Rattus norvegicus: one gene and its partners. The protein of the gene in region 4 interacts with the protein of the main gene of each other region in a biochemical or structural test. Links are inferred from orthologs where the notes say so. Each region holds a gene or a part of one and is shown on either strand. Other genes may lie near its edges.

Region 1 (4,335 bases), on a different chromosome or scaffold from region 4:
TGCCTATTTAAAAGATACTACCAGGGTCAAATCAGGATGTTTTAGGGGAGTGAGGAGAAAACACAGTCTCTCCTTATAGGCACGACAGGAAAAGGTTTTGCAGTATTAGAGACAGTCAGGCTTCTGCATTCCCAAACCACTGGGAAGAAAAGGAAATGTTCTAAAGTATCAGTGGCTTTGAAATCTAACGAAAAAGGAAAGAACTATTAAGTATAACATAAATGGCAGACAGACCAAGAGGCCTGTTCTGCATTAGCCACAGGTTCTAGACACAGGGTAGACCTACTCCACGTTCATCCCCACAGTAACTGACAGAGACCAACAGTTCCGGTACAGTAAGACCTGGAAAAGTCTGCCTCCGCATCCCAGGTGACATCACTGTCCTCACGTTACTAGAGATGACAACAACACGTTCAAGAACCACAGAAACCTCAACCCCGCTTATGACAGTAACAGTTGGAAGGCTCAACTCATAATTCCTACACACTTAGGCAATCTCTTTAGATTAATGGTGAAGAAACTCAACCTCCTTGAAAATACACACATCAGGCTTCACATGCGATTTAAGGAGACCTTTGCCTACTATGCACTGGTCTCTAGTTTGATCCCAGCACCCTCTCGACCCCGGAAGATAGTAAACTAAGATAAAAATGTTGCCCAAAATAAACTACTTAAGCCCTTGGCAAGCCCTACCACAGCTTACTAGGTAAAATTTCCCAAGCGTACACAAGCTTCATTAAAAGAAAGAACCTAAGTGAAAAGTCTGTAAATGGTTCAAAAAATTGTTTTAATAGAAGACATTCTCAGAAACACCAGAGGTCCAGGATAGTTTCTACCGCTAAAATGGTCATATTCCTGTGTGGTGGTCTGACGTCATCAGTTGTAATCTATCTTAGAGTTGACGACCTTTCTATCCACAAACCCTGGCCCAAAGTGGATATACCCCGGGAAATTCAGCATACAGAGGGGTGTTATTTAAAACATGATTGCCTCTTTACTCCAGATTCAGATCTAGTAGGTAGATTGTTTGTACATGTGTGTGACATATCAGTTAGTGGCTATATAGACGGTAAGTAAAGCACCCTGTGAAGATTTAGTTAGGAGTCTCCTGTTTTCCCATTCTTACTGTCTTTACTTTTTCTCTGATCACCATAGCTGCGGCCACTTGAGTCACGAAAGTTTTTGTAGTAGAAGAGCATGCTTAATCCCTCAGGATCCATGAGAATGTGTGTGTGTGTGTGTGTGTGTGTGTGTGTGTGTGTGTGTGTATACACGTGTGTACACATGTGCACGAGTGTGTGTATCACACACACATGTACTTATACATTTAAAGCATCCACTTTTCTTGATACCCAGAAGAACCTGCCATCTCTGGTTCGTCTTCGATAGAAACCAGGTAATATAACTGGTTTTGCTAGGCAGTTTCTCAAAGTAAGGTGCTTAATTGATTATTTCAGGTGTGACTGTCAGAAACAAGGTTTGGCTTCCTCGAAGAACAATGATGGAGAGAAAGGCATTGTCCTTAACAGCTTCAATGACATCGGTTGTGGTCGTGACAGGCTGCCCGTTTATGCTGACAATTACATCATGGTCTCTCAACCCCGAGCTGAGAAGGAGAAAGAAAAGATGATGAAGCCAGGAGCAGTGACGCACACCTTTAAACCCAGCATTCAGGAGGCAGAGGCAGGTGAATCTCTCGAGTTCAAGGCTAACCTGGTCTACAGAGTGAGCTCCAGGACGGCCAGGGCTACACTACAAAAAAACAAGAGGAGATAAGGAAAGCATAAGAAGAGTCCTACTCATCCCCATTTGGAGTCAATCTGTCTGTCTGTCTGTCTGTCTGATTCTTCCCTACCCCCATACTCTCCTACTATTTTGCTGACCACTGGAAAAATAATCCAAGAAGGCAGGACCAGCCTGGACCCTTCTAGGTGCAAAGACTATTAAGGATGTGCTATGAAGCCAGCTGGAGGAGAATGATCCTGTGTTTCCAGTAATACTAATGTCTATAGGAAGCTAAGTCCTTTCAAGCGTTGGGTTGTGTTTGGAATGGACACTTTAGCATCTAATGTCTCTTTGTCTCTGGCCTGTGTTAGCCTCCCACATTACTAGATACACCAGCAACAGTGCCAAGCCCAGTGTTTTCCCAGGAAGTTGTGCTTTGATGAGTCTGCCTGGACAGCCCATCCCAGTTTCTGGAACTGCACTGTGACGAGCTGCTGTGTGTCCCAGATGTTATGGTCCCAGTAAAGCAAAAGCCACTCAAGCTTCCAAGTCCAGATGTTTACAGCTCTGACTCGAGGCTATAGCTGTATTCAGTCTTCAACACACTGCCCTCACATAGAATATATATTCCAGATCAGTGGCTCTCAACTGTCCTGACGCTGTGACCCTTCAATACAGTTCCTCAGGTTGTGGTGACCCCAACCATAACATTATTTTTGTTGCTACTTTCTAACTGTAATTTCGCTAGTTATGAATCATAATGGAAATATCTGTTTTCCAATGGTCTTAGGAGACCCGTGAAAGGCCGTTTGCCCCCCCACCCCCGAAAGGGTTGAGAAACTGGTGTTCTAGGTACAAAATCCAACTCCAAAAGCAAAGAGCAATAAATACAGACAAGCTGGTCAATTGAATAAAGATAAAATCCAGGAGATGCCATTTAAGGAAAATGGGGAGCTCAAGAATAAAAGAACAATGAGTGGTTCCCAAGATAGGTGGATTTTGAAGAACGTGAAGGGTCAGGGGCATAGCTGAGTGGTAAAAGGTATGTTTAGCATATACCTGGCCCTTAGCTCAATGGCCAGCACCAAAGGTGGGGCGGGGTGGAAAGGTAATACAGTGGACTGTGAAGAGAAGGAAGGATAAAGCTGCATGCGAGAAATCCTGAGGAACAAGGGCAGTAGCAGGCGATGACTCAGACTCTGCAGAGAAAGACAATAACTCAGCAGCCGTGAGCAGGGAAACGGAACAAGAAAGAAACCGGGCTGGGGCTCGGGGCCTGCTGTGCACTGAATATGAGGAAGTAGGCTCACACAGAATAAGTGGCCTTTGCCGGTGGTGTCTCACAACTTCCAAGTAAAGCGGGATTCAGTGCTGAAAATTCATTTTCTTGCCAGTGACCTCAGTGTAGCTCAACACAGCTGCTTTCCCGTAAAAACAAGGACTGGGTCATGTCATAAGACTCCTCAAACAACTCTGTAAAAACACTCGGGTCCTGGGACATAATAAATGTTCCTGAGTACCAGCTGCTGTCACTGTAATTATTAGCAGTTATTAGATATAAATGGATGGAAGCCAGCGAGGGTGGATGTCGGGCTGTTGGAGGCTTACAGCAGGAATTCTTGCTTCAATCAACATGTGTATAACCTATCTGGGCATCTGTTAAATAGGAAGACTCCTAGAGATGTAGTCTAGTGCTAGGACAGATGTTTAGTACACATAAGGACCTCTATTTGAACCCCAAAAAGCAAGAAGTAAAGTTAAGGGAAGTTGGGGAGAGAGGGAGGGGAGAAAGAGAGGAGGAAGAAAGGCAGGAGATGGGAGGAAGAGAGATTTATCTGCCACAGTTCACACACCTAACCCCAGCACTTGGGAAGTGCAAACAGGAGAATCCAGAGTTCAAGACCAGCACTGAGACAGAGAGAGAAAGAGGGGAGTGGGGAGAAGGCCACCCATTCAGGGGTGGGGCTCCAGCCTGCCTTTCTGACAACATTGCTACTGCTGCCACACTTTGAGAACAACTCACTGAGCTGAGCTCTCTGGCTTTGGAGCAAAAGTTAAAATAAGGAGTTAGGGGAGGCACAGGGTAGGGTAGGGATCCCGAGAGTCTGGGAAATCGTATGGCATGTCATATTTAGGAGCAGGAGACCTGACACTTAGCTATGCACCTGTGATTTCTTCCAGGTCTACAAGAGTTGCCAACTGGTAAACAGACCGCTGAGCTCTTGAGGAACAGTGAGCAGTGATAAAGAAAGGGCAGGGCCCAGGAGAAGAGCATTTGCAGAACAAGCTGCCCCACCCTCACAGTAAATATTCTAAAGCAAAACTGAGGACAGCTGCTAAACCTTCCGTGGGGCTGTTCCAGCCCATGATCTAGTGACACAGGGGTTAGCCACAGCAGTTCCCAGCACCATTCCCACCTCAGAGAAAAGGGTGTTTGAGAAGACCTACTATGCACTAAGACGTCTGACCTGCTGAATCCTCTCTACTTCTACTGACTGAAAATTACTGAACCGTTCAAATTATTTAATTATTTATCATTAGTTAATAGCTATCAATAACTGAATAACAGGGACATTGTGGCACATGACTATAATCCTAGCACTCGGGAGA
Region 2 (4,510 bases), on a different chromosome or scaffold from region 4:
GAAACACTGTGAGTAACAATGAGGATACAAGTCAGACGCTTGCTTCTCACATGGGCTGTCAGAATTTCATCTCCTATAGACTGATCGGAAGAGTCCACGTCTCTCCTGTGAGCGTTCATTAAGACAAACGTTACATTTAAATCCTGAATCTCAACCGGGGCAGTACCCAGAGTCACACCCCAGTAACCTCAATGCACCCACCTGCCAAACATTCTCTTGATACTCACAGACATCATGAGCTCTGCCAGAACCAATGTCCACCGGCCTGGGTGTTTCTGGTGTGAGAACCTCTGGCCTGAGCCGAGTAGGCCAGAGCTCTTCCGGCCCCAGCACCACTGGGGTGAGGTTTCCCAAGGCAGGCTGAGATGGGTCCAGCTTCACTACTTTCTGCTCCTTTGATTTGAGTCCCATTGGTCCCAGGACCACAGGCACCAGGTGGTCTAGGGGTGTAACAGCTTCTGGATCCTGCTTGGCTGCTTGCCCACTGCTTTGCAAGAATGAAGCCAGAGAGCCTTGGCCTGTGTCCTCTAAGCAGGAGATGAAGCGAGGAAGGGCCTGCCTCCCTCGAGTCTCAAGATCTATGACCAGCTGCCTGGCCTGATCCCGCCGAGACCCAGAGCCTGCCCGCTGTTTGGATAGAAAACCAGACACTCATTATCCAGTGACATCTACAGTCACCCTACCTCCCGCTTCTCACCTAGCCTCTACCTTGTGAGTGCCGGGACTGCAGGTATGTACCACCACCCCTGGAACAAGTCTCTCCTTTCAAACAGTCTGCCATTCCCAATACTAGGTCCGACACTGCTCTGACCACACTTAGCTGGAGAAGGACAGAGGCTGCTGGTGCCTCCCCGCGCAGTTTGGCTTTTGATCCCCCTTAATATGCCTGTGGTAGATAGACAGAAACTAATCTAGCAGTGTACTGAGTTCATGTCCCTCTGCAGTCTTTGCTTGTCAATGACACCTACTGTGTGTTTGTCCAGCTCTGTGCTAAGTGCTAATTAGCCCTACTAAAAGTAGCAAAATGGTGGTCAGTAGTTTGGACGAGGTACTTCAAACTTTCTAAACTTGTTCCTAACATTAAAATAAGAGAATTAAATGTAGAATTCAAGATCTCCAACATCTCTGTTTTTGGAGGAAAAGAAGTTTCTGTTGGGGGGGGGGGACTTTCATATTTGTGTGGGGGAAGGAAAAGTTCTCAAGTAGCCAAGATTGGCCTTCAAGTTCCTTCATAGCTGAGGATGACCTTTGAACTTCTGCCTCTCCTGACTCCAGAGTCACCAGGCCTGGTTTTATAGGGCTAGGGGTTAGACTCAGGGATTCACGAATACTAGACATGCACTGTACCAAATAAACTGTATGTCTAGCTTCTTGCTTTGGTTTTGCTTTTAAACATTTACTATGTATGTATGTATGTAGGTAGGTAGGTAGGTATATGTGTGTGTATCTAGATGTATATGTGCCAACTGTGTGTGCCTGGTGCCCAAGGAGGCCAGAAGAGTGTGTCAGATCCCAGGGACTACAGTTATAGTTGTGAGCCACCATGTGGGTGCTGAAAACTGAAATCAAAGCTCTTAACAACTGAGGCAGCTCTCCAGCCCTTGGTTTTGGTTTCCAGAGACTCGATCTCAAACTCTGTATGTAGCCAAGGATCCCCTCCAACACCTGATCCTCCTGCCTCTACCTCCTGAGGGCTGGGATTCCAGAGGAACAAACCATTCCTTTCAAACAGCCTGCCACTGCCAACACTAGGTCGGACACTGCTCTGACCACACTTAGCTGGAGAAGGAAATACGACAGAGGCCGCTGGTGCCTCCCTGCACAGTTCGGCTTCTGATCCTCCTTAATATGCCTTCTGGAAGACTAGGGCTTTCCCTTCAAACCACTTTCCTTGGCCAGCATGGGCCCCTCCGAAAGTGTTCCTGAGACTACTTTTGTTATTATCTGGTAGTTAACCCCATGACTCTACACCACTTTCTTCTATTTTCCTTCACTAGACCAGACTAGGTTCCAATCCAGATGCTGGAGACAGCTTTCTAGACAGTTCCCCAGGGCCTGACACTCATATCCTCTCAAAAAGAAATATTCCCTTTTCAGACTTGCAGTGAGGCATCAACTGGAGCAAAGAAGCTCAAATGTATTTTTTTTAAAAATCAAATGTTTGATTGTATTCTTCGGTGGTACCTGTATCAATGTCCGTCTTTTCTGAAATCCTTTATAAAGCATGCACTTGGATAAAAGCCCAGCTAAAAAAAAAGACATGGGTCCTGGGGCTGTGGCCCCACAGAAGTGCTTCACCTTGGTTATCTCATTCATCCTAGAACAGGATGACACCGTTGCATTTCACAGCCCAGGAAACTGAGGCTCAAAGACGGCAAGTGACAAGTACAATGAGCCAGTATAAACCTAAAGTGGGTGTTTAGGACCCTTCTACAGAGAGGCTAAACTACTAACAAGGTGTGGGTTACAGTGGCATTAGCGAGCACTCCACAAAAGAGGTGCTTGGGTTCTTCTGAAGGATTAAAAGAGCTGGATTGTGGAAGGTTTTAAAAATGGAGTTCCCACACCATGGTTTCCCAGGGCCTGGGTTGCACACCGTGCAAAGCGGGAGAAAAGGGCGGGAGCTCCGTAGCGGTGGCTTCAGTGAACCTCTCTGCGACCTCCCAGTCCCTACCGGCGCCGTGGGAAAAGCGGCGGACACAAGGGAGCGGGGGAGCACCTGAATATCCTCGATCATGTCGCGCGTGAAGAGCTCACGACTCAGCAGAGCGTCCCACAGCTCCGCGACTTGCAGTTCGCGCACAAGGCGTACCCTGCATCGCCGCAGGAGTTGCCGGTCAGCCTCCTCCATGGCTAGCGGATTGCTGGACCCCTGGTTCCGTCCGCTTCCGGGCCTCGGGTCCCGCCCCGGCACCCACGCCCCGCCCCCACATAGCTCCTCTAGGGATCACGCTCCGACCAGTGGTCACCGCCCCAAGGCCGGTCCCTCAAGCTCACTCGGCTCCACCTCCGCAGCCACCTCAGCTCCGAAGGCCCCGTCACCGCTTCACCAGTCCTCCCACCTCTCTCACTCCCCCCACGTCCCCCCTTCCCCCCACCCCCACCCCCCGCGCTCTCAGGCCACGCCCCTTCGCCACGCCCCAAGATGTCCTTGCTTCGTTCCGCCTGCTGGCGCTGCACGCAAGCCCCGCCCCGTCACACGCCTCATATAAGACTCGCTCTTCCTTGCCTCATAGACCAGCACTCCGGCCCTATGGAGTTCCTTCGCTCCGCCCCGTGGCCCGCCCCCTTCTCTGCTTTTGCCTTTGTCCCCGCCTCCAGGACCCGCCCCCATCTTGCTATTCCAACTCTCTCCTAGTCCGGCACTCAGGCCTCACCCCACCTCTTTCCCTGCAGCGCTCTCTCCTCACGCCCCTCCCTCGCCCAGCTCTCGCCCGCCTCTAACAGCGGCCAAACGTAACGTTGCTCCGCCCCCCATGCGACCCACGTGACTTTCCATGCGGCCTTCTCCTCCCACACTCTCCCCCAGGGCGCCCCTAGGGTTCCAAACCCCAGGTTTGCCTTGCTACCTTCCGCCCATTTGCTGGTTCCGCTTAGCAGCGATTGTTCTAACAAAGTTCACTGGTGACCCTATTTCTACAGATGCTCAAAGGGTCGCGAGAGGAAAAGGAAGAAACCATGTCTAGACGTCTTTCAAGTCCTTTGCGGGCTGTGGCTTTCTTCTAACGCCCTCCTCCGTTGCGGCTAGTAAAACCTCGCCTCCTGCTTTTTCAGGCTATCCTGCCTCAGCAAACTAAGCCCACAGACTTCCATCTCGCTCTCTTCTCTTTCCCTCCTCAGCACCTCCCACATAGAAACTGCCAGGAATCTAGTCCTCTGTTCTCTCAGTTTTGTACCACTCATTTCCACGACTTAAAAAGTAACTGAACAAGGCTGGAGAGATGGTTCAGTGGTTAAGAGCACTGGCTGCTCTTCCAGAGGTCCTGAATTCATATCCCAGCAACCACATGGTGGCTCACAGCCATCTATAATGGAAGGTGATTCCCTCTTTTGGTGTGCATGAAGATTCCTATATACATTAAGTAAATAAATCATTTTTAAAAAATAATTGAGCATCGTGCTAGCCACTTACGGTGTTGTCCCAGCTAGCCATGTTATTATCCCTGACATATTCCCGATAATAGTTATTCCTTGCTGACAGCTGTGGACATGTGTTAGGGATCTCACAGCTTGACCCCCAACAGAGGCATCTGAGATTCAAACCCGAACTGGGATAGACCCTTAGCCAAGAATCCACCATGGAATATGTCAAAAGATGATATTACACTCGCTTCCCGATTTTAGCATCAGGCAACGCTTCTTTCCATTAGATAGGATGCACATTCGGATGAGCAGCTGAGGTGAATTTACAAACAGGAAGTCTGGGGAGAGCCCAAACAAGAAACTCGAAGGGGAGTAGTTGCCAAGTCAAGGAGATTCGCCATGTTGGCTAAAACTGGCTGGTTTGGGG
Region 3 (3,867 bases), on a different chromosome or scaffold from region 4:
GCTGAGAAGACAACAACGTGGTTAAATGTCTGCCTTGCAAATGAAAGCTCTAGAGGTTGGGATCCCCCGAGCCAAGCTTATCCTGGGTGTGTGTGGTGACCTGCCTGTAATTCCAGCCTCAGAGGCAGAGGTAGGATCCCAGGAGAAAGCTGGCTAGAGGGACCAGCTGTCACACCTAGCTCTGGGTTCAACTGAGAGACCCTGCCTCACTGAATAAGGAGAAAAGGGAATGAAGACAGCCCCTCATCAACCCCGGGCCTCCACAGGGCCTCCACAAATACACACATGTGCACAGGCAACACCCTCCCCCTCCAGTGCGCGCACACACACACACACACACACACACACACACACACACACACACACTTGGGGCCACATGCATGCAAATACTCATATATACAGGCACATGGGGGAGAGCAGTATTTGGGCTGTGTCTGAGAATCAGGAGGGCTGGAAAGAGAAGGGTCAGGGATAAAAGGAGAGACATTTGTTGGGGCACCTGGGTAGTGCCACCCACGCTCAGGTGTGGATGGAACAAAGAAGCCTCAGTGGAAGCTAATAGTTGTCTTATTGCATATATTGCATATATCAAAGTCCACCCTATCTTCTCTTTTCATAGGAAGGATGTTTCCAGAATCTCTGAATTGCTAAGGTGACTATCCACCCTCCCTTCCTCCCCTATTTCCAATGACCGTAGATGCTGGCTTGAGCCACAGGCCTTACTCCCAGCATCTGCCCCAGGGTATGGCTGGAGCAAGTTAAAGATGTGGCTCTTCCCTAAGAAGTTTCTGGTGGCCCGATGCTGTGCTGACAAAAAGGACTCTGTAAACTTTCAGTATAAATTGTTCCTGATGTGCTCTGTACATATCAGCTCCTGACACCCAGGGGACCCAGGAGGACATACTATTGGGTAGCCTCAACTTATACTCTCTCAAACAACCCCCAAGCTCTGGCATTCTATGACCTGAAGCCTTCAGCTTTATACTGAAGTCTCGGTTGAGTGAGACATCTGTGAGCAAACAGGTGGCTCCCCGTCATACCCACAGGCATTCAGGGAGAGTTTTGGCATGGGCACGAGCCAGGCCAGCTCGTCTCCACTCAGTCGCCCTCAGGGCTGAAGGTAACTTTCTGCAGCTGGCAGTGCCATGTGGACTTTCAGTCCCCTTTCTGCCTAGACTGGGTTTGAGCTCCTTAGCATCCACCCATGGCTTGAAACACCAACGTGTCCTCTGACCTTACTGCTTCCGGAAAGGGCTGGTGGGGAAAGGTGCAAAGAAACGCTCACATGGCTATCAACTGACTGCTTGTTCTGACAAGCTCACATGCAAGGGGAAAGCAAAGGTGTGCCCACAGAAGAAAGAAACACGGCGTAGGTACTGGAGAGCCTTACCAGGTTTACTAACGGGCCTCCGGAGTTTCCATACTGAAACGAAACAGAAGGCAAAGGTTGGCTCTGTGTCATACCAACACCTAATCAATGTCTCTACCCAGATTTCAAAGCGCTGATGAAGCAGCCAGCAGGCTGGGCTTCCCTAGGCTTTGTCTAGGATCACCTAATTTTAACTGAAGAAAAGGACCTTGACCACTTTTCACGAAGCTTGGGGTGTGCCATAGTGAAATGGTTTAGTTCTGAGACCACGGTAAGCAGCTAACCCCACTTTTACCTCCTCCTCCGATGAGACTGGCCACCCACTGGCTTCAGGACCCCATAGTTCAACTCTGAACAGCTCCGAGAGGAACATTAACACCTAATGCCTAACACCAGAACATCTCAGATGTTCTGGGAATTCATGCAGTCTGTGAGACGGTTTGGGAATAGGAAGAAGCCCAACTTCCTCTGGGAAAAACTCGTCCCCAGCCCAGCAGGCAGAGGGAGCAGAGGGCTCACATTGATGATGGCGTCTGTCTGAATGTAGTCCATATCGGAGTTCCGGAGCCCCAGTTCTTTGCCGCCTCGCTGGGTGGTGCTGACGATCCCAGTGGTGACCGTGTTTTGAAGAGAGAAGGGGCTTCCGATGGCAACCACAAATTCTCCTGGCCGCAGCTCGGAGGAGCGGCCAAGCAGCAGGACTGGCAGCTTACCCTGTAAGCACAAAGGGAGTCATTGCTGCACAATTCAAATACAGAGAGCGAAGAGCAGTCCCTAGGGACTGAGCTTGGGGTGGACACTCCTCTCCTGAGGGCCAAGCCCCTGCCATAATCCACACACAGGCCCTTAGCGAGTCAATGAAATGGAAGCGCTTGTACCAGGGAAAAATGGGAAAAGGTGATAGACAGTTTCTAGGCCTCACATTTTGGAACGATCTGTGCAGCTGGAGAGAGGACAAGAGGAGACAACTTTGGTTTAAGGCTTAAAGATCAAAGTCCCAGACAGGGATCCTGAGTCCGTGTGCCTTAGGGGAAGCAAGGAACCATGGGTCTACTCTCCCACATGAATAACCTTCCTGAGGCCTGGGATGTGGGGAGCCCTGAGGCAGAAACTCGCACTGACTTTCTTGTGCAGCCCAGTGGTGGTAAGGCACAAGGACAAGCAAAGGCTGGCAGCACCCAGGACCCAATGGCGGACTGTCTCTCCTGTGCACACTGGGAAAATCCCTATCACTGCATCTGCCCCCAGCCGATGCAGACTGAGGATTCAGCTGAAGACATCCTATGTCCCACGTCCTATGTCCCACTCCCTCCTGATACTGGGCAGAGTCCGAAGCCCTAAATAACTCCTCATAACAAGATAGGACCATGGAGGTTAAAGGGCTGGGGAAAATGACTGGAGGCTGCCTTCTTCCACTGAGATGGCCCCAGATCCTGCTTTCTTCTTCCCACATTGCCCAGAATTCCTGAATTTTCTATGCATTGCTCATGGAATACAAAAAAAAAAAAAAAAAAAAAAAAAAAAAAGTTAGTCCTGGATGCCTGCTAAGGGAACTCTTTATAGTCATTCAATTTGAGAAAGGATAAGCTACAAAAAAAAAAAAAAATCCAGTGGGTGGAGGTGGGATGGTGGGATGGGTAGCCCAGACAAGAGACTTTATCATCCTCTCTGCAAAGAGAAATGGAACTGCTGATGAGCTCGGACAATTGACTAGCAGATAAGGGAGGCCCCAGACCCTGGGTGACCTGAGATACAACAGAGATTTCACTGTACTCACTTACCCCACAGCACCATGATACAGATTTGAAACACACACACTCCCTGCACGCACACATGCACTCATGCACGCATGCACATGGCCAGTAAGACTAGCACTGCCTACGAAAACATGTCGGAAGACACAGCACAAGCTCTCACCAGCCAGGAGCCTGAGAAGCCGCACCTCTACTCTCAGATACCACACACCCCACAGGGCACCAGCCATCTGTGGCACAGGCTGCCAAACTGAAACTCTGCATGACAAGCACGGACGCCTCGCCTGAGAAGTGGGATAAGAGAGCCCACCAATCGCACTGGTCTGTTATGATGGTGATTTAGGATAACGATGAATTAGGAGCCTGAACGGTTCTCTGGAAAGAGCCTACTCGGCTGTTTACTAGTTTTCAAATCCCTGAAAATCCATTGAAGGATTCCAGCAACTGTGCTGTGACAAGCCAGGGTGTGTCACCTTTCCAGACACAGTTCCACACTGGCTATGACCCTTTCACTTTAAGGTCACCTGAGGCCGGGGCCTATGGCATTCCCTACGCAGACCCACTCGGCATCCAATGGCACGCAGCAAGCTCAGTGTGACATGTTTATCCTGGGTGGGCGCCAACAGTCCCTGCCAGCAAGCTCTGCCAAGAATGACCTCAGCCATCGAGGCAGGGTGGGGCAGAGTCTGGCTGCTGATGAGTGCTGGCCACACTGGGGGAGGCCCACCAGGACAGTACCATTCC
Region 4 (3,867 bases):
GAGAAGTGAGGTTGTGTCTTATTGGAAGAGCGCCTGCTTGACATGTAGCACCTGAGCTTACCTTCTAGCACTGAAAACAACAAGGGGTATTAAAACCAACTTGCTGGGGGTTGGGGATTTAGCTCAGTGGTAGAGCGCTTGCCTAGGAAGCGCAAGGCCCTGGGTTCGGTCCCCAGCTCCGAAAAGAAGAAAAAAAAAACCAACTAGCTTTCTGATGAGGTTGAGAGTTCATTTTGTCAAATGTGATAACAAAGTGATAGGGAATGAATGTTTGGGTTCCTTACGCTCACATGCTGCAAGCTTAACCTTCCACAATGATGCTCAGAGGAAAGGCTTTGGGAAAGAGTCAAGTGTTAGTGGACAATGCTTTGGTACCAGAGAACATGTATTGTTTCTAATGTCATAGCATAATGCATCACGGGTTTGTGAGGATGTTGGTATGAATCAACCTCCTAAGCTGCTAGTTATATGAAAGCATAACATATAGTTAATAAAACTTGATAAGAGGCCACAACAAGTGGTTGGGACACATGCCATCTATGTTTGTGTAAGTATAAGTGATGACGTTCATTCAATGATGAGATTATGTAACAACCCATGTCTCAACACATATATTCATTGTTAAGCAATGCATGAATACAATTAGGTTTGATCAAGTCATAAGCATGAGAACTCTTGGGGGAATTTTTAGCATGAAATACACACTACTTTGGGAAGTCAACTATCTGCAGGGGATCTACTTTTGGACTTTCCCAGTTCTGTGGAATTTTCTTATAGTAGCCTGAGGAAGCAGCATTAAGGGCACATGTACAAATACCCTTCTATGTTGAATATATGTCAAAATAGACATTTACTATGGCCAAAAAGAGAGAAGATGGGACTTAAGATGACAAAAAAGTTGCTTATTATTGAAGCGAACCCATTCTTCTTTCCACTTCTGTTTGTGTTTCAAGTTTACCATAATAAAAGAGTCAAAGTGTTAATGCCATGGGGATATTAGAGAGGAAATGAATGGGCTGCAAGGTGATTTTCCCGACAGAAACAAGCAATGTATACCTTTCTGCAATGAAGTCTGACTTGACTCATCCTGCGAATTATCTTTCTGAGCACTCACAAGATCTGCAATCAGAACCTCAAGTGATAGATAGTTGCTCCCAGATGTTTGGAGCTTTTCTTCCATTGTTTTCTTGATGTCCTTGAAGTTGAATCCCATTCGTATAGCTTCTTGCACCATAGGATTCTGGAAGATGGTATCATCTGAAATCAAAGTTGGGTGGAGAAAGAACATAATACAAGTATTTTCATTAACATGACTGAACAGTAAAACAGTTAAGGGACTTAAGATAGCTGAAGAGTTCAGTGGTAGTGTTTGCCTACTATATGTGGTGTTGTGGTTTTGATCCCCAAAGTTAAGAAGAAAAGCGGTGGTGCACGCCATTATTCCCAGCACTCAGGAGGCAGGGACAGGCAGATCTTTGAGTTCTAGCCTTGCCTGGTCTACAGAGAAAGTTCAAATACATCCAGGAAACCCTGTCTTGAGAAACCACAAAAAGTATGCTAGGGAAAATTCTTTCTTTAACTTTGTTATTTATGCCTGTTACCAAATCCATTCCAAATAATTCAACATAGCCCCGCATTTCGAGCATATTTATAAATACCTGTAGTATTCTCCTGCTTTCTAATCCTTGACACACAAAACAGATGATGTTACAACATTAGGGAACAGGGACTCATCAGATACTCTAAATTAAGCTTTCTTTGAAACATACCACTTCAATTGAAAAAGCAGATCTTAAAAACAATCAACAAACCCCACAAAAGACAAATAAATCGAAACTCCAAAAGAACTCCAGTGTCAGGTGTTATGGTGTACACCTTTAATTTTAACACTCTGAAGGCAGAGGCAGGAAGGTATTTGGGAATTTGAGACCAGCCTGATCTTCAAAGTGAGTTCTAGGACAGTTGAGATACAATGAAACACTTTGTTCCACACCACTACCACCAAAACACCATACATAACCCCACTAAAAATTACATCTACAATATGCTATGTGATTTAGAAGACCTTGTTTATAATGCTAGTTCTATTACTAATTTATAATAGTATATACCTTTAATTGGGAGACAGAGGCAGGCAGATCTCTGTGAGTTTGAGGCTAGCCTGGTGTATAAAGCAAATTCATTATAGCCAGAGTACACAGAGAAACCCTATCTCTAAAAACAAAACAAAACGAAACAAAACAAAATGATAACACGGCAGTAGGCAGATCACATCACCTCTTTGTTTCTTCAAGGGAACTGTAGGAACACTACTGAGGCTGCAGCTCAGAGTACTTGGCATTCACTGGGCTCGGCTGCCAGCACACTATCAGCTTTAGCTGTATATGGGGGTACACTCCCTCAATCCCAGCACTTAAGAGACTGAGGCAGAAAGAGAGAGGTCCAGGCCAGTCCGGCCTACACAGTAGATAGACTACTGAGATGGCTCAGAGGCTAAGAACACTTGCTCTCCCAGAGGACCTGAATTCAGTTCCCAGCACTCACATGGTGGCTCACAACCACCTTTAACTTCAGTTCCAGGGGATCTGATACCTCTCCTGGCTTCTGGGGCAACTAGGCACACATATATGAAGGCTAAACACCCATACATATAAAATAAATAAATGAATGAAAAATTAAAATCTAAACTTTTAATACCTTTGTTGCTTTAATACATTTTCCTCCCTCCGTTCCTTCCTTTCTTAAAACCATGCCATGCAACCCAGACTGACCACAGGTTCCGGATTCTCCTGCTTCAACATCCTCAGTGCTCGGATTATAGATTTGCACCATAGCACCTGGCTTTCTTTTTTTTTTTTTTTTTTTTTTTTTTTTCTTCTTTTTTTGGTTCTTTTTTTCGGAGCTGGGGACCGAACCCAGGGCCTTGCGCTTCCTAGGCAAGCGCTCTAGCACCTGGCTTTCTATTAATGTACTCACTACAAAAATGTCTGGTATAAAATTATAAGCACTTAATTAAATTCTTAAATTTATAGCAGCCTCATTAAACAAACTATAATAAACTGGCCACAAAACTAAACAGATTTTTAATAAACATATTTACCGATTTTTTTAGTTACTGATGGTGTTTTTTCAGCAGTTCTTACCTAAAATAGAAACATGAATGGTAAGATTTCACTTTAGCAAAAAGCAATTATCTCAATTTGAAAAGTTAATAAACATAAAACAAATTGGCTTTATTCTAATTCGAAACATGCCTATCCATAAGAGCCCAGCCAACAGAATGGAAGGAAGGCAAGACTATCTAATCATCGCCCCTTTACAAACAAGAAGCCAAGGGCCAATGAGATCAAATGACTCCCCGGAGGGAAACAAATACAAACTCAACTAGAAACTAATGGTAGAACCATCATGTCAGTTCTAGACTCCCATCACAGTCCAAGGTTCTTCTCAGTTTACTAATGCTATGATTGCCACTGTCCTATATGTCAATTCAGACATATTATTAAATTTTTTTGTCTTATCAGAGATTGAATCCAGGGGCTTGTTTATGCTAGCCAGAAAAAGTAAAACCCATGTATATCCCTGTCCTTATTTTTGTAATCTTAAGTATTATCCGCTAAAGGGTTACTAAAGAGATGGTTTAGCAGTTAAGAACACCTGTTGCTCTCCTAGAAGACCAGAGTTCAGTTCCCAGAATTCATACTGGGCAGCTTATAACTGCCTGTAATTTTAATACCAAATCATGCCCTTTTATGGCTTCCTCAGGTACAACACATGGTGTGTACACGTATGTACACACACACACACAGAGAGAGAGAGAGAGAGAGAGAGAGAGAGAGAGAGAGAGAGAGAGAGAGAGACCGACCA
Region 5 (2,815 bases), on a different chromosome or scaffold from region 4:
CCCCATGTATGACTGCCAGCAACCCTGCCTCTGCCTGTGGAACATACCTCTGAGAAGGTGAGTTGGGAACGACCTCTTGAACATATATTCCACTGCTCACTGCTGGAAAATCTGGGTTGGCAGTCTTCAGTTCCTCCACCAAACTGGAAAGACAGTCCTGTGTCAGCCTCTCAGCCTGCAGCCCAGCTCCCTGGCATGTGGCTGCCCCTTCCTGCCACCACCCAAGCTAGACAAACAACCTCTTGTGAGTTCTCAGAGAGCCCTGAGCCCCATGAGATGGAACTGCTTAGTAGCCACGACTGGCTACAAGTGTGGAGATGGGGCAGCTAGATTGGGAGGACAGACTATAAAGGGTGGCTGAAGAAGGACAGATGGGTGGGTGGCTGGACAGAGGTATTGGGTGGAGAAATGGAGAATGGTTCAGTCACTGAATGGACTGAGAAGACTGGAAAGATGGCCAGTGGATAGATGAATGGTTGGGGAAGCACACGACTTAAAGATGAGTTGGCACACTGGTCCTAACTGCAGATTGTTTAAATTTTGCTCCTTAGATTGACAGAAGAGGGAATCGGGTTGGTTGGTCAATATCTCTGAGTTATCCCCAGAGCTTCACCATGTAGTAACTTCCTTCATAACCCTGGGTTGGACTTTCCTTCCCTCCTTCCTCCCTCCTGTCCACCCCCTTCATTGTCACTTTCATCCTGTCTTTCCAGGCAGCTGCTCTGTTCGGAACCTCTACCAGAGCCAGAGCCAAGAGGTGAGTGGGGACACAGCCAGCTCCCTGGAACTCACAGTCAAGATGATCGGCAGGCAGAAAGGACCCCTGACAGCCATTACAACACTGTGGGTCACCTCTGTGCTAAAGGGTGTGCAAACGGGGGGGGGGGAGGCTGTCTTACATGAGTGGCCCGTGGAGATGGGGAAATATCCACTAGGATCTCAGAATATAACCATGTTTGAAAATAAGGTCTTTGCCACTCTAGTTGGTCAGGGATCTTGAGATGAAGTCATGGACTTGGGCAGCTCTCATATCCAGTGACTGGCAGCGTGGGGCTCAGACACAGGCTGGAGGAGGCCTGTGGAGAAGGGGAGCGACGGGGGCTAATGCAGCCTGCTGAGGGGTGACCATAGCCAGGAGGAGTCAGGAGACACAAGAAGAAATAAGACTGGAATCTCAGAGTGTGAGACCTGTGGGCACTTGATGTCAGTCTCTGGCCTCCAGAACTCTCAAGTAGTATGTTTTGGTTGTTCTAAGCCACCTAGTTTTAATTCATTATTGTAAGAAACCCAGGAAGCAATTCCAGAGGCTCCCTGGAGGAGGGTTGTCTGAATAGAGTCAGAAGGAATCCATCAGGCAGTGGTGGTGGGTCTGACCTCTCTAGCACCTGCCAGCAGCTGGACACAGTAGTCAGTATGTGGAAGGGGTTCATGGGAGGACAGGGGAGCGTCATTCACCTTGGCGTGATGGTCCGCATCCGGATGCCAATGAAGCGCTTCTTCCAGTCTGGAAACGGAACACAGTGGCTCAGTTAGGCTACATGGTCACTGCCCTTGAGAAGGGAACCCAGAGGAGACTCAACAGCCTGGAACCAGCAGCCCACCCCTGGCTGCTTTGGCGGTGAAACCATGGGGACAGGTTCTCAACACAAAGCAGGGCTTGACACATTTTGGTTTTTCATTTCACTAAGATTCCCTGAGCATGGTGGGTTTAAACCAGCAATCAATAACACCAAGAGTCTCTGAAATCCAGATGCCCAGGAAGTACACAAGAACAAGCCATCCTCAGAGAGGAAAGCAAAAGGAGAAATGAGAAGGTTGTTTCAACTACATAAACGAACATATTCCTAACCGAGGCTTTCAGGGCACAGAGGCTGTTCTCAGAAGCAAAGAACACAAGTTAGCACCCATGTCAGAAAAAAAGGACTCAGGCAGGTGAGAGGGCTCAGCAGGTGAGAATGTTTGTGGTACAAACCTGGTGACTTGAGCCTGATCCCCAGAACCCACATAAAGGTGGAGAAAGATCCTACTCCACAAAGTTGACCTGTAAGCCTCCACATGAATGGCATGACACAACCCCCTCCCCCAGAGTAAAATAATAAAATTTTAAAGAGATTTATTTATTTTTATTTTATGTATGCAAGTATTTTGTCTGTATGTATGTGCACCACATATTTGCAGTGCCCATGGAGACCAGAAGAGGGCGTCAGACCCTCTGGAACTAGATTTAGAGCTGACATATGGGGGTGCTGGGAACTGAACCCAGGCTCTCTGTAAGGCCAATAACTGCTCCTAACTGCTGTGTCATCTCTCCAGCCCCGATAATATATATATTTTTTAATTTAAGAGGAAAGTCTCAGACCAGTGGCCTCAGATTCCTCTTAGAAACAAGAAAAAGGTGGCCACGTGAAACTCAAAGGAAGCAGAAGATGAAACTATGAGTCAATGAGACACAAAATAACCCAGCAAAGAAATAAATGAATCAAAAGCCATTCTTCTGAAATTAATAAAGTGAACCAATCATCAGCCAGTGTGATCACGAGGAAGAGATGGATAGGTGTCAATGTCGGTGAACTGACATCGTCACTGTCAAGGATTAGAGAGGAGGCGTTGCTGCAGGCCTTCAGACATCACAAGGCTGCTAGGAGAGCTAACCACTGCTTGCATCCATGCATCCCACCACTTGGGGTCCGGAAAGCGCCAAGCACTTATGTCCACTCAAGAAGGAACGAACGGCCCAAAGCCCTCCATCTAGTAAAGAGGTTGATGAGTGGTTAAAAGTATTCCCAGAAAGAGCTCAGACCCAGAAGACATCACC
Region 6 (3,867 bases), on a different chromosome or scaffold from region 4:
TGCACCGATGGCTCGGGGATCATTATAGAAGGGTTGGAGAGACTGTAAGAGGCAGAGGATCCGAGTTTGCTGTGCAACTGTCTACTTGGAATGTCAGAGGCTACCCCATAAAGTCCATCAACATGACTACCAAACATGAGCTGAGTGAGGAGGACAAGAGATGTGCTAGGATGTGAGAAAGCTGACCAGGCCTCAACCCTAGATGAAAATCTGCTGGTGACCAATTGGTTATCTAACACCAAATGGTAAGCCCTAAAAACATACCATAGGTTGTATTACATACATACATATATAATATACTCATAATATAATTTACTATAGTCTCAAAAATTGTATTAAAATGTCTTACTGTAAAGAAGTTCAATAAAAATGGCTAAGAACACTCCCTGTCCCCAAGAACCCTCCATACTCTGTAGCTGCTTCTCCTACAGCTCCTCTGGTTTTTCCTGCACTAGTAAAGGTGGATGACCTCTCTGCCCTGGCCACTCACTGCCACACTGGTTAGCACAAATTACATTAGTCCTAAGAGACTATTTTCTATGGTTGTGAAAAGTACCCCTACTGATGAACACAAGTCTCAAATCATGGACTATGCAAGACCTGTCACAAAAAAACCTGCTGCTATGAAAAACCCAAATTCATGAGAGCCAAGACATTCACAATCAAGAGCTTCTCGAGAGGCTTTGTAAAAGACAGGAGCAACTATGAAGCTCTTCACTGCACACAGGTCGTCTGGCCAGACAATGCTGTTCTGTTGGTTAACGCTTCAACCTGAAAACTAAAAGGGACCATAGTCTTTTCCTGCCCCACAGTTAATGATCTTGAAGACAAAGAAACTAATACATGCCCATGTCTAGTCTTAAGAGATTTTATCTGACAAAGCCTACTTTAATTGGTCAAAAAACTGTGTATGTTCCACATTTCTTTCATACGTGATAAGAGTTTTCATAACTTATTTTCACCAGTACTAGGGTAAGAGCACTCTGGAGAGCAAGGAAGACGAGCCAAATAACAACAAGCTTTCTACCTGTTTTGAGCGTTGTTTAAAAGCCGTCCTCTCATAAATCTCACTACTGAACAGAACCAACCCATATAGATACCTGCTGTTCTCAGGTAAGGGGTACTCATTTCTTAAATGGGAAAAATGGGCAAATGGAAGCTACCAATGACAATTTATAGTTATATATAAACTACACACATGTTGAATAACAGAACATTTACACATTTCGTCAGGAGTCAGAGTTGAGGAATCTCTAGCTTAAATCTGATTTTCTAGCTCATGACTTTTTTACTGCATTAAAGATGTAATTTTTTGTGAACTCCCATCAATAAATAGCCCTTTGATATCCTTATTCAAACTCAAAGAAGTTACAAAGACAGGATTTAAAAACGGCAGTTGTAAAAGAAGTGCAGGACCCAGGACCACTGCAACCATAGACCTTAGCATGATGTGCATGGCCACCTCTAAAGAAGAGGAAAAGGAACAGAGTAGAAGAGGGGAAGACAGAAGGGGGTGGAGGCAAAAGGAAAGAGAGGAGGGGGTAGGGCACAAATACAAATTTAAGACTAGAATCAAATTCCAAAGCGTCTTACTCCCCAGAGCAGCCATGTCCAACCCTTGACACTGCAAACGGATGTTGTCACTTACAACTTCTATAAAAAGATTGCAAAACAACTCAATGATTAATAAGTTTATGATCTTGTATTGGGCCACATTTACTTCTATCCTAAGCTTTTCAATTTATCTGAATATAGGCACTGTCCTTGGAGAAAAAGAAACATGCAAAGATTCTTTGTATTAAATACTTTTCAATTTCCTATCTAACAAAATGGGTCCTCTGAAAAAGCACTACAAGAATTTGCTTTTGTTTTCAATTGTACTATTGACGTGTGCCAGGCAAAACACATCGCTCGCTTTCAAGTCTTTAGTTTTCTGAATAACCAATAGCTCTTTGATTGGTTATCAGTGAGTACCCCCATTAGAAAATGACTTTATTTAACATCAAATTAAAAACCATGCTTACTAGGTAATGGCATTCAAGTTGTCACCAAAATGCATTTTGTTTCCAAGTACACCTCTCAAATATCATGATAATTTTTATTAATATGTACTTTTATTTAATTAAACTCTATAAAGATCCAGTATAGTTAGCAGGTAAGTCTGCTGGTGTTGTCAAAATACAGCAACAGGAAGAGAAAAACTAAATGAACGGATACAAGCTTTCAAAGTGTTGGGCACATTTCTGTTTTCTGGAATGGTGGCACTATAAAGCCCTCCAGCCTCAACTCTATGGGGAGATCCTATCTCATCAAAACAAAAGGATGATTTGAAAAAATAGGTATTAGCTCAATAAATGGAGAGATGTACAAAAAAGTTCTATTAGACAAGAAAAATGAGACTTAGACACCTACAGCACACAGATTAGCAGAAAGAATCAACAGCACATAATCCTGTGTGCCTAGCTACCCCAGGTAGGTCTTGGATGTTCTCAGTACAGCTAAGGAAGAGGGCTGAGACTCCAGGGATGACTGATACACTAAGTAGATAGATACAACTATGTAACCACAATGTAACATTTCTCCAAGTGTCACACATGCACTGTAAGTAGAGTCAAACTTGGTCCACAGAGGAAAGGGGGTGAAAAATAAACAGCTTACCTTTTTATCTCTGGTCCTTACTTCCCCATAAAAATCCAGGGCCTCTTGTGCCTTTAAAAACTTGCCCCGATGCAATAAATATGCACAAATCATTACACCAGTCCGTCCTTTCCCAGCTTTACAGTGAATTGCTGCAACATGATTGTCGTCTTCACTTAGCCATTGGTCAAGATCTTCACAAAAGGGTTTGATAAGTTCTAGCTGTGGTGGGTTATGGTCTTCAAAAGGATACTGTGCAACTGTTGCAAAAAGATAATCCCAGTGTAAGTTAAATGTATTTAAAATATAGGTTAACTTTAAAAATATTACATGTAAACTTACTGGTGCTCAGGGAATTTTAATTTACTACTTACTAACTCTAGTTTGAAAGACAGTCTTTTACTAATGCTTAAATATATTCATGAGACAAGAATAAACAAGCATTGTGTGCCTCACTCCAAGAGTGAAGAATCTGTACATGAAGGAAACCCGTCATAGTCTATCGTACAGCTGAATCCAAATGGATGTCCCCCAGGCCTCTTGCCAAGTAGTAACTTCTAACAGGAGCAGTAACAGATCTTAGCATCATCACCAGACATGCTCTGAAGAGAGTATCGGTTACTAAGAGAGTCAACTATGGAAAAGACTGACTTTTCTACCTAACAAAATTGCCCGGTGACTTTTATTTTTAAAATGGTCTCTCTCACAAATATTCTAATTGTATATACATGGCTTGAGATTAATCACTCACAGAAAAACATTGATGTAAAGTTTACCAAATTAGGTTTCAGATCTTTTTCACATGAACTAAGAATCTAAGACATCTTTGTTCTCAACAGTCAGAGTTGAGTTTTTTAAGGCAAGGTGATATTGTCCAGAAGCAAGACTTCAGTTTTGTCCTCACTACTGGTTTTTAATCTTACCAGCATCTGTTTCTACTCTACCCTATTGAGATCCTTAAATCCTGACCTGAACCCTAGGGATGTAACTCAGTTTGCAAAGTGCTTGCTTAACAAGAGTCTAAGCCCTGGGCTCCTCCCTGCTTTGAGTAAACACAGCTGAGGATGTGGTGCAAGTCTGTAATCCTAACATTAGGGAGGTGAAAGCAGAAGGATCAGAGGATCAATCACAAGTTCAAAGTCACCCTTAGCTAAATACTGAGTTCAAGGTCACTCTGGGACACTGAAACCCTGTCAATAGATAAATAAATAAATAAATAAATAAATAAAT
Region 7 (4,422 bases), on a different chromosome or scaffold from region 4:
TCACTTGTACCTCCCACCCCACAGAAGGAAGAGGCAGAGGCCATGCAGTAACATTCCCCTTTAATAGCCTGGTGGGACCTCCAGTGGTGGTGGGGTGGGTTGCTTGAGCCTGGTGACCCAGGCCCATTGCCCACTTACCCCACAGTCAAGAGTGGGGGGTTGGACAGCACCCAGCGGGAGGGGGGGCGCTAAACAAGCCAATTCATTTCCCATCGCTGAGCAGGTCGGGGGAGGCAGCACCGACCATAATCACGTGGTGGTCAAAAAAAATAACTAGGGGCAGGTGACAGGGAGGAGAGGCAAGGCCAAGGCAGGGGCCAAGGCTACCCCACACACCCTACCTGGGCCCCCAATAAATATTTGCAGGGGATGCCTGGGCCAGTAACCCTGGCAGGGATGGGTAATTGCTAACCCTATTTCAGGCAGCGCTCGAAGTAGGTGGACCCGATGTAACCACCTCTCATGGAGCGCTGCACGTTTTGTTCAAACAGCCGCCGATTGTTCTGCAGGACCTCGGCAGCCTCCTTGTTCAGTGGGTCCTCGGGGTTGGGCTCCTGTGGCCAGTACAAGTGGAAGTCAACAGGCAAGAGAGGCAGAGATGGCCAACAAGCCCTCAGCCTCAAATGTCTATGCCTACTTACCAAGAAGAGATACTGCAGGCCATAAATTATGGAGTTTATCGTAAGGACTGGCTTCCAGTCCTCTCTGTGGGCAGAGAGCATCAAGGTTATCAGGGGCTGGTGAGTGGGAGGTTGCCACAGGCCCTGCTAACACGAAACAGGTCAGGCCCATAGAAGGGCCATTAACATTGAAGAGTGAGGGGGAAGATGTGGAACAGGGCAGGTCATGGAGAAAGCCAAGGTCAGGTCACTAGAAAAACAACTTGAAAAGGAAGACAGAAACCCAGACTGACCATAAAGGCAAGGACAGAGATGGATGCAGCATCCACAAAGGCTGAGAGGATTCCTAGAAGGCAAGCCTTGGGAGGGAAAGGAAGGCAGTGCCCTCACCTGAGGATGTTGAGGCAGACGTTGCCCTCGAGGTCAATGTTGGGATGATAAACCATTGTTTCACACTTCACCTTGGGAGGGTCATGTGGGTAACCCTGTCCCACCTGGCTCCAGAAAAAAGAGAAATGAGATGGGAGGGTGTTTTGGCTATGCCCCAGTCTTCTCCACAGAGCCACCTTTGTACACTTGAAACTCACCTTAAAGCTGAACACAAACTTGCCGCTCTTGTAGAAGCCCTGGAAGAGGAAGGGGGAAGAATGCATAAAGATCCTGCTCTTAGGGGGCCACCCCTGGACTGTTCTTGGGAATCCTGCCATGTTTTACTCTTACTTCATCAGGACAGATAACCAGTTTGAAGTTGAGGAGGTCGTCTGGGTCTGAGAAGCTGATGTCACACGTCTTGGGCAGGTTCAGCTCGTTAATGTCTAGGTTTGCACAGCAGGGAGAGGGAGAGAAAACAGGTAGAAGAAAGGAGGTAGGTCTGGACATGTGTCAGTAGAACCCCCAAGGTCTCCTGGACCTGAGGTGCTCTTTGTGTGCTGTGCTTTAACTCACTCCATAGGACTAACTACTCTTTCCACTTTTCAGTCTCTACTCTTCTGGATACACGGTATCCCACATACAAGCATCTTCAAGTGTAACTGGATGCCCATCTCTTGGGAAAGGGCAAGCCTTTATCCCCCAACCCCAAGTCCTCCGCAAGTTCCCACAACATAGTCCCCAAGAACCTTTACTCCCATAACCCTTACTTCCAAGAACCCCTGAGTACCTTAAACCTGAGGTTCTCTATTTCTAGTCACTATCTCCATTCACGACTGTTTACCAGTTCACCACTATTCAAGGACCATGACACCTCCCCCCACAACACTAAGTTCAACCTTCCCATCAAGTATCCAGCCTCCACTGTCCTCCCTCTTCTCCGGATTACTCCACGTTCCCATCTGATCCTTGAGATTTCTAGCATGGTAGCTTAAATTGACCCAAACTCCTTTTTTTTTTTTTTTTTTTAAAGTTCCTGTCATTTTCTCTACCCCCCTTCACCTCAAACTCAAAACCACTCTGCCTAAACCCCTGGACTTGAGTCCTGGACCACCAGCCCCAGTATAAAACACTAAACCGTCTCCTACTTATCCCCAATTCGTAACCTTCACAATCTTCACGGCCCGTCACCCCAGAGCAAAGTTCCCCTCTGACTCTCCAAACTATACCCCTCCCCTAACAGATTCCGGGTCCCTAACACTCCAGGCCCAAATATCCCAACGCCCCATACTCGGCCCCAATCTCTGACCCTCCCTAGTGACCGCACCCCCCCACCCCGTCCCGTATCACAACCCTCGAACTCTGACCCTCGATACCAAATATCAGCGGTGGCAATTTCACGCCACGGTCCCTGACCTCGAACGCAGGGTCCCGACCCCTACCCTTCTGAATCCGCAGCTGCGCCGCCGACGCCTTCTTGCTGCTGCCCTTGGTGCCGCCGGCCGACTCCTCCTCCTTCTTCTGCTGCTTCAGCGAGAACAGCTTGATCATCCTGCCGCCGCCGCCGCCGCCGCAGCCGCCGCGGGGCCCGGGACCCCGGCCACCCGGCCCCCCGCCGCCGCCTGCGCCGCTTCCGCTCCTCGGACCCGCTACCGCGGCCTCCTCCGCTGCCGCCCGCCCGGCCTGCCGCGCTGCTCCGCGCCCACCGCACGGCCCGCCTCGGCTCCCGTAGTCCGGCTCTGGCCTGGCTTAGCACCTCGGGTGTGTTCGGAAGTGCTCGGGAGGACTCGGCTATCCTCGGCCCCGCCCCTGCTACGGCCCCCGCGCCCTCCTCCCCCTCTTCCGCTCGGGTCTTGTGAGTCCCCGCTGCGGCTGCGGACGCCGGCCTTTACCGGTCCGCCGCTCTCCCGCCTACTTGCTCCCTTTGCTAGGAGGCTGCGGTGAGGTGGAAGGAGGAGGCGGCAGCCGCGCTTGCGGCGGCAGGGTACCGCAGGGTACCGGTGGAGGCTCAGCTTCCGCGGCAGGCGCGGCTTCGATGCGGAGGTCGGCAACGGCCTCGGGCACCCCGCCGCTTCGGCACTTTCCGTCGTCTGTCCGCTTCGGTTTTTCCTGGCTCGGCTGCGCTCTGCGCCTGCGCAACTCTTGCAGCGCCCCCACCCCACCCCCCTGCTTGCTCCTCGTTGTAGTTTGAGGTTCGGTTTTCTTCGGTTAAGCTCGGGTATTTCCGTTTGTGGAGGTGACTATTTGGCGGTCCATCGGGTACTTCCTGGGATGCGCACCCAGGAGAGTAGGAAGCAGTGCTTGCAACCATTTTTGAACCAGGCAGGTAGTGGCTGTTTGGCTCTTGGTGGTTCTATTCAATATTGCACTTATGCGGATCTCAGCGGGACCAGGTTACCAGGTTAGACTGGATCCTTGCCCTCTTGAGGGCTCAGCAAAGGCAGAACCTGGACGTTGTAAGGAACGTTGCCTAAGGGTGCAGAAGCAAGCTCCCCTTTAATCCCACCGCAATCCCAGATTCAGATTGATGGGAACTAGTTTAAAACTCGAATTGTGGGTTGGGGATTTAGCTCAGTGGTAGAGCGCTTGCCTAGCAAGCGCAAGGCCCTGGGTTCGGTCCCCAGCTCCGAAAAAAAGAACCAAAAAAAAACAAAACAAAAAAACAAAACAAAAAAAAAAAAAACTCGAATTGTTCTGGAGGCTTGAGGTATCAAGTTGGCTTGAGAACAGGCGTTAAGGGCTGGAGAGATGGCTCAGTGGTTAAGAGCACCAACTGCTCTTCCAGAGGTCCTGAGTTCAAATCCCAGCAACCACATGGTGGCTCACAACCATCTGTAATAAGATCTGATGCCCTCTTCTGGTATGTCTGAAGACAGCTACAGTGTACTCATATATAATAAAAATAAATCTTTAAAAAAGAGAGAGAGAACAGGCGTTCAGGGACACCCTAGGCAACACATCGAGACCCTTGTTCCTTAAATTTCTGTTGTGTAACAGACGTGAGCAACCGTGTAGTTCTAGGGTCCGAGGTTGACGTTGGTATAGGTAGGGCTTACGACTGCGATCTAGAGACCAGCAGAAGTGGCACTGTGCTTCTTGATTAACTTGTTCAGTGAGCTTGCATCCAACCACAGTGCTTGGGAGGCAGAAGAAAATAATAGCTCAGGATGGGCCAGTGACTTTGGCTGTCATCTAGGAAACCAGAAGCCAGAGTCGCTGTTGAAAAACATGACCGGAACAGGTTAGGACTATGTTCTGCTCTTATAAAGGCTCTTTGCTGACTGACAGCGTTTGCACCACCCAGCATGGCACAGTTCTACATTCCTTGCCGGCTAGCCCATTTTGAGACCCAAGACAAATCACTCTAGAACTGTTCATTACTGTTTTCTCAGCTATCCTACTCTAGGCTGATTATTTTTGTATATCTGCTGTT

What was found.
Region 1: the proteins of Xiap (region 4) and Htra4 form a complex in vitro, tested with the Homo sapiens proteins (2 studies listed by BioGRID and IntAct, with this or other methods). The link is inferred for Rattus norvegicus from reciprocal best matches to the Homo sapiens genes XIAP and HTRA4.
Region 2: the proteins of Xiap (region 4) and Casp9 form a complex in vitro, tested with the Homo sapiens proteins (12 studies listed by BioGRID and IntAct, with this or other methods). The link is inferred for Rattus norvegicus from reciprocal best matches to the Homo sapiens genes XIAP and CASP9.
Region 3: the proteins of Xiap (region 4) and Htra1 form a complex in vitro, tested with the Homo sapiens proteins (2 studies listed by BioGRID and IntAct, with this or other methods). The link is inferred for Rattus norvegicus from reciprocal best matches to the Homo sapiens genes XIAP and HTRA1.
Region 5: of the proteins of Xiap (region 4) and Htra3, one has a biochemical effect on the other in vitro, tested with the Homo sapiens proteins (3 studies listed by BioGRID and IntAct, with this or other methods). The link is inferred for Rattus norvegicus from reciprocal best matches to the Homo sapiens genes XIAP and HTRA3.
Region 6: of the proteins of Xiap (region 4) and Pten, one has a biochemical effect on the other in vitro, tested with the Homo sapiens proteins (2 studies listed by BioGRID). The link is inferred for Rattus norvegicus from reciprocal best matches to the Homo sapiens genes XIAP and PTEN.
Region 7: the proteins of Xiap (region 4) and Ube2m form a complex in vitro, tested with the Homo sapiens proteins (2 studies listed by BioGRID). The link is inferred for Rattus norvegicus from reciprocal best matches to the Homo sapiens genes XIAP and UBE2M.

The regions. Positions count from the first base shown.
Region 1 is NC_086034.1:73,714,156-73,718,490, reverse strand, and holds the end of Htra4 (serine protease HTR4 precursor), read right to left. Parts: intron 1,607-4,335; coding exon 1,441-1,606; 3' UTR 769-1,440; downstream 1-768. UniProt on the Homo sapiens protein: Serine protease.
Region 2 is NC_086023.1:159,390,455-159,394,964, reverse strand, and holds the start of Casp9 (caspase-9), read right to left. Parts: upstream 2,892-4,510; 5' UTR 2,852-2,891; coding exon 2,720-2,851; intron 628-2,719; coding exon 228-627; intron 1-227. UniProt on the Homo sapiens protein: Involved in the activation cascade of caspases responsible for apoptosis execution. Binding of caspase-9 to Apaf-1 leads to activation of the protease which then cleaves and activates effector caspases caspase-3 (CASP3) or caspase-7 (CASP7).
Region 3 is NC_086019.1:194,969,560-194,973,426, reverse strand, and holds part of Htra1 (serine protease HTRA1 precursor), read right to left. Parts: intron 2,084-3,867; coding exon 1,889-2,083; intron 1,424-1,888; coding exon 1,391-1,423; intron 1-1,390. UniProt on the Homo sapiens protein: Serine protease with a variety of targets, including extracellular matrix proteins such as fibronectin. HTRA1-generated fibronectin fragments further induce synovial cells to up-regulate MMP1 and MMP3 production.
Region 4 is NC_086039.1:125,790,921-125,794,787, reverse strand, and holds part of Xiap (E3 ubiquitin-protein ligase XIAP), read right to left. Parts: intron 3,144-3,867; coding exon 3,101-3,143; intron 1,258-3,100; coding exon 1,057-1,257; intron 1-1,056.
Region 5 is NC_086032.1:79,317,230-79,320,044, reverse strand, and holds part of Htra3 (serine protease HTRA3 precursor), read right to left. Parts: exon of another isoform or gene 2,245-2,815; intron 1,505-2,244; coding exon 1,456-1,504; intron 144-1,455; coding exon 48-143; intron 1-47. UniProt on the Homo sapiens protein: Serine protease that cleaves beta-casein/CSN2 as well as several extracellular matrix (ECM) proteoglycans such as decorin/DCN, biglycan/BGN and fibronectin/FN1.
Region 6 is NC_086019.1:240,084,920-240,088,786, reverse strand, and holds part of Pten (phosphatidylinositol 3,4,5-trisphosphate 3-phosphatase and dual-specificity protein phosphatase PTEN), read right to left. Parts: intron 2,898-3,867; coding exon 2,659-2,897; intron 1-2,658. UniProt on the Homo sapiens protein: Dual-specificity protein phosphatase, dephosphorylating tyrosine-, serine- and threonine-phosphorylated proteins.
Region 7 is NC_086019.1:82,735,186-82,739,607, forward strand, and holds the start of Ube2m (NEDD8-conjugating enzyme Ubc12), read right to left. Parts: upstream 3,114-4,422; 5' UTR 2,541-3,113; coding exon 2,432-2,540; intron 1,436-2,431; coding exon 1,341-1,435; intron 1,247-1,340; coding exon 1,208-1,246; intron 1,115-1,207; coding exon 1,011-1,114; intron 706-1,010; coding exon 642-705; intron 555-641; coding exon 414-554; 3' UTR 1-413.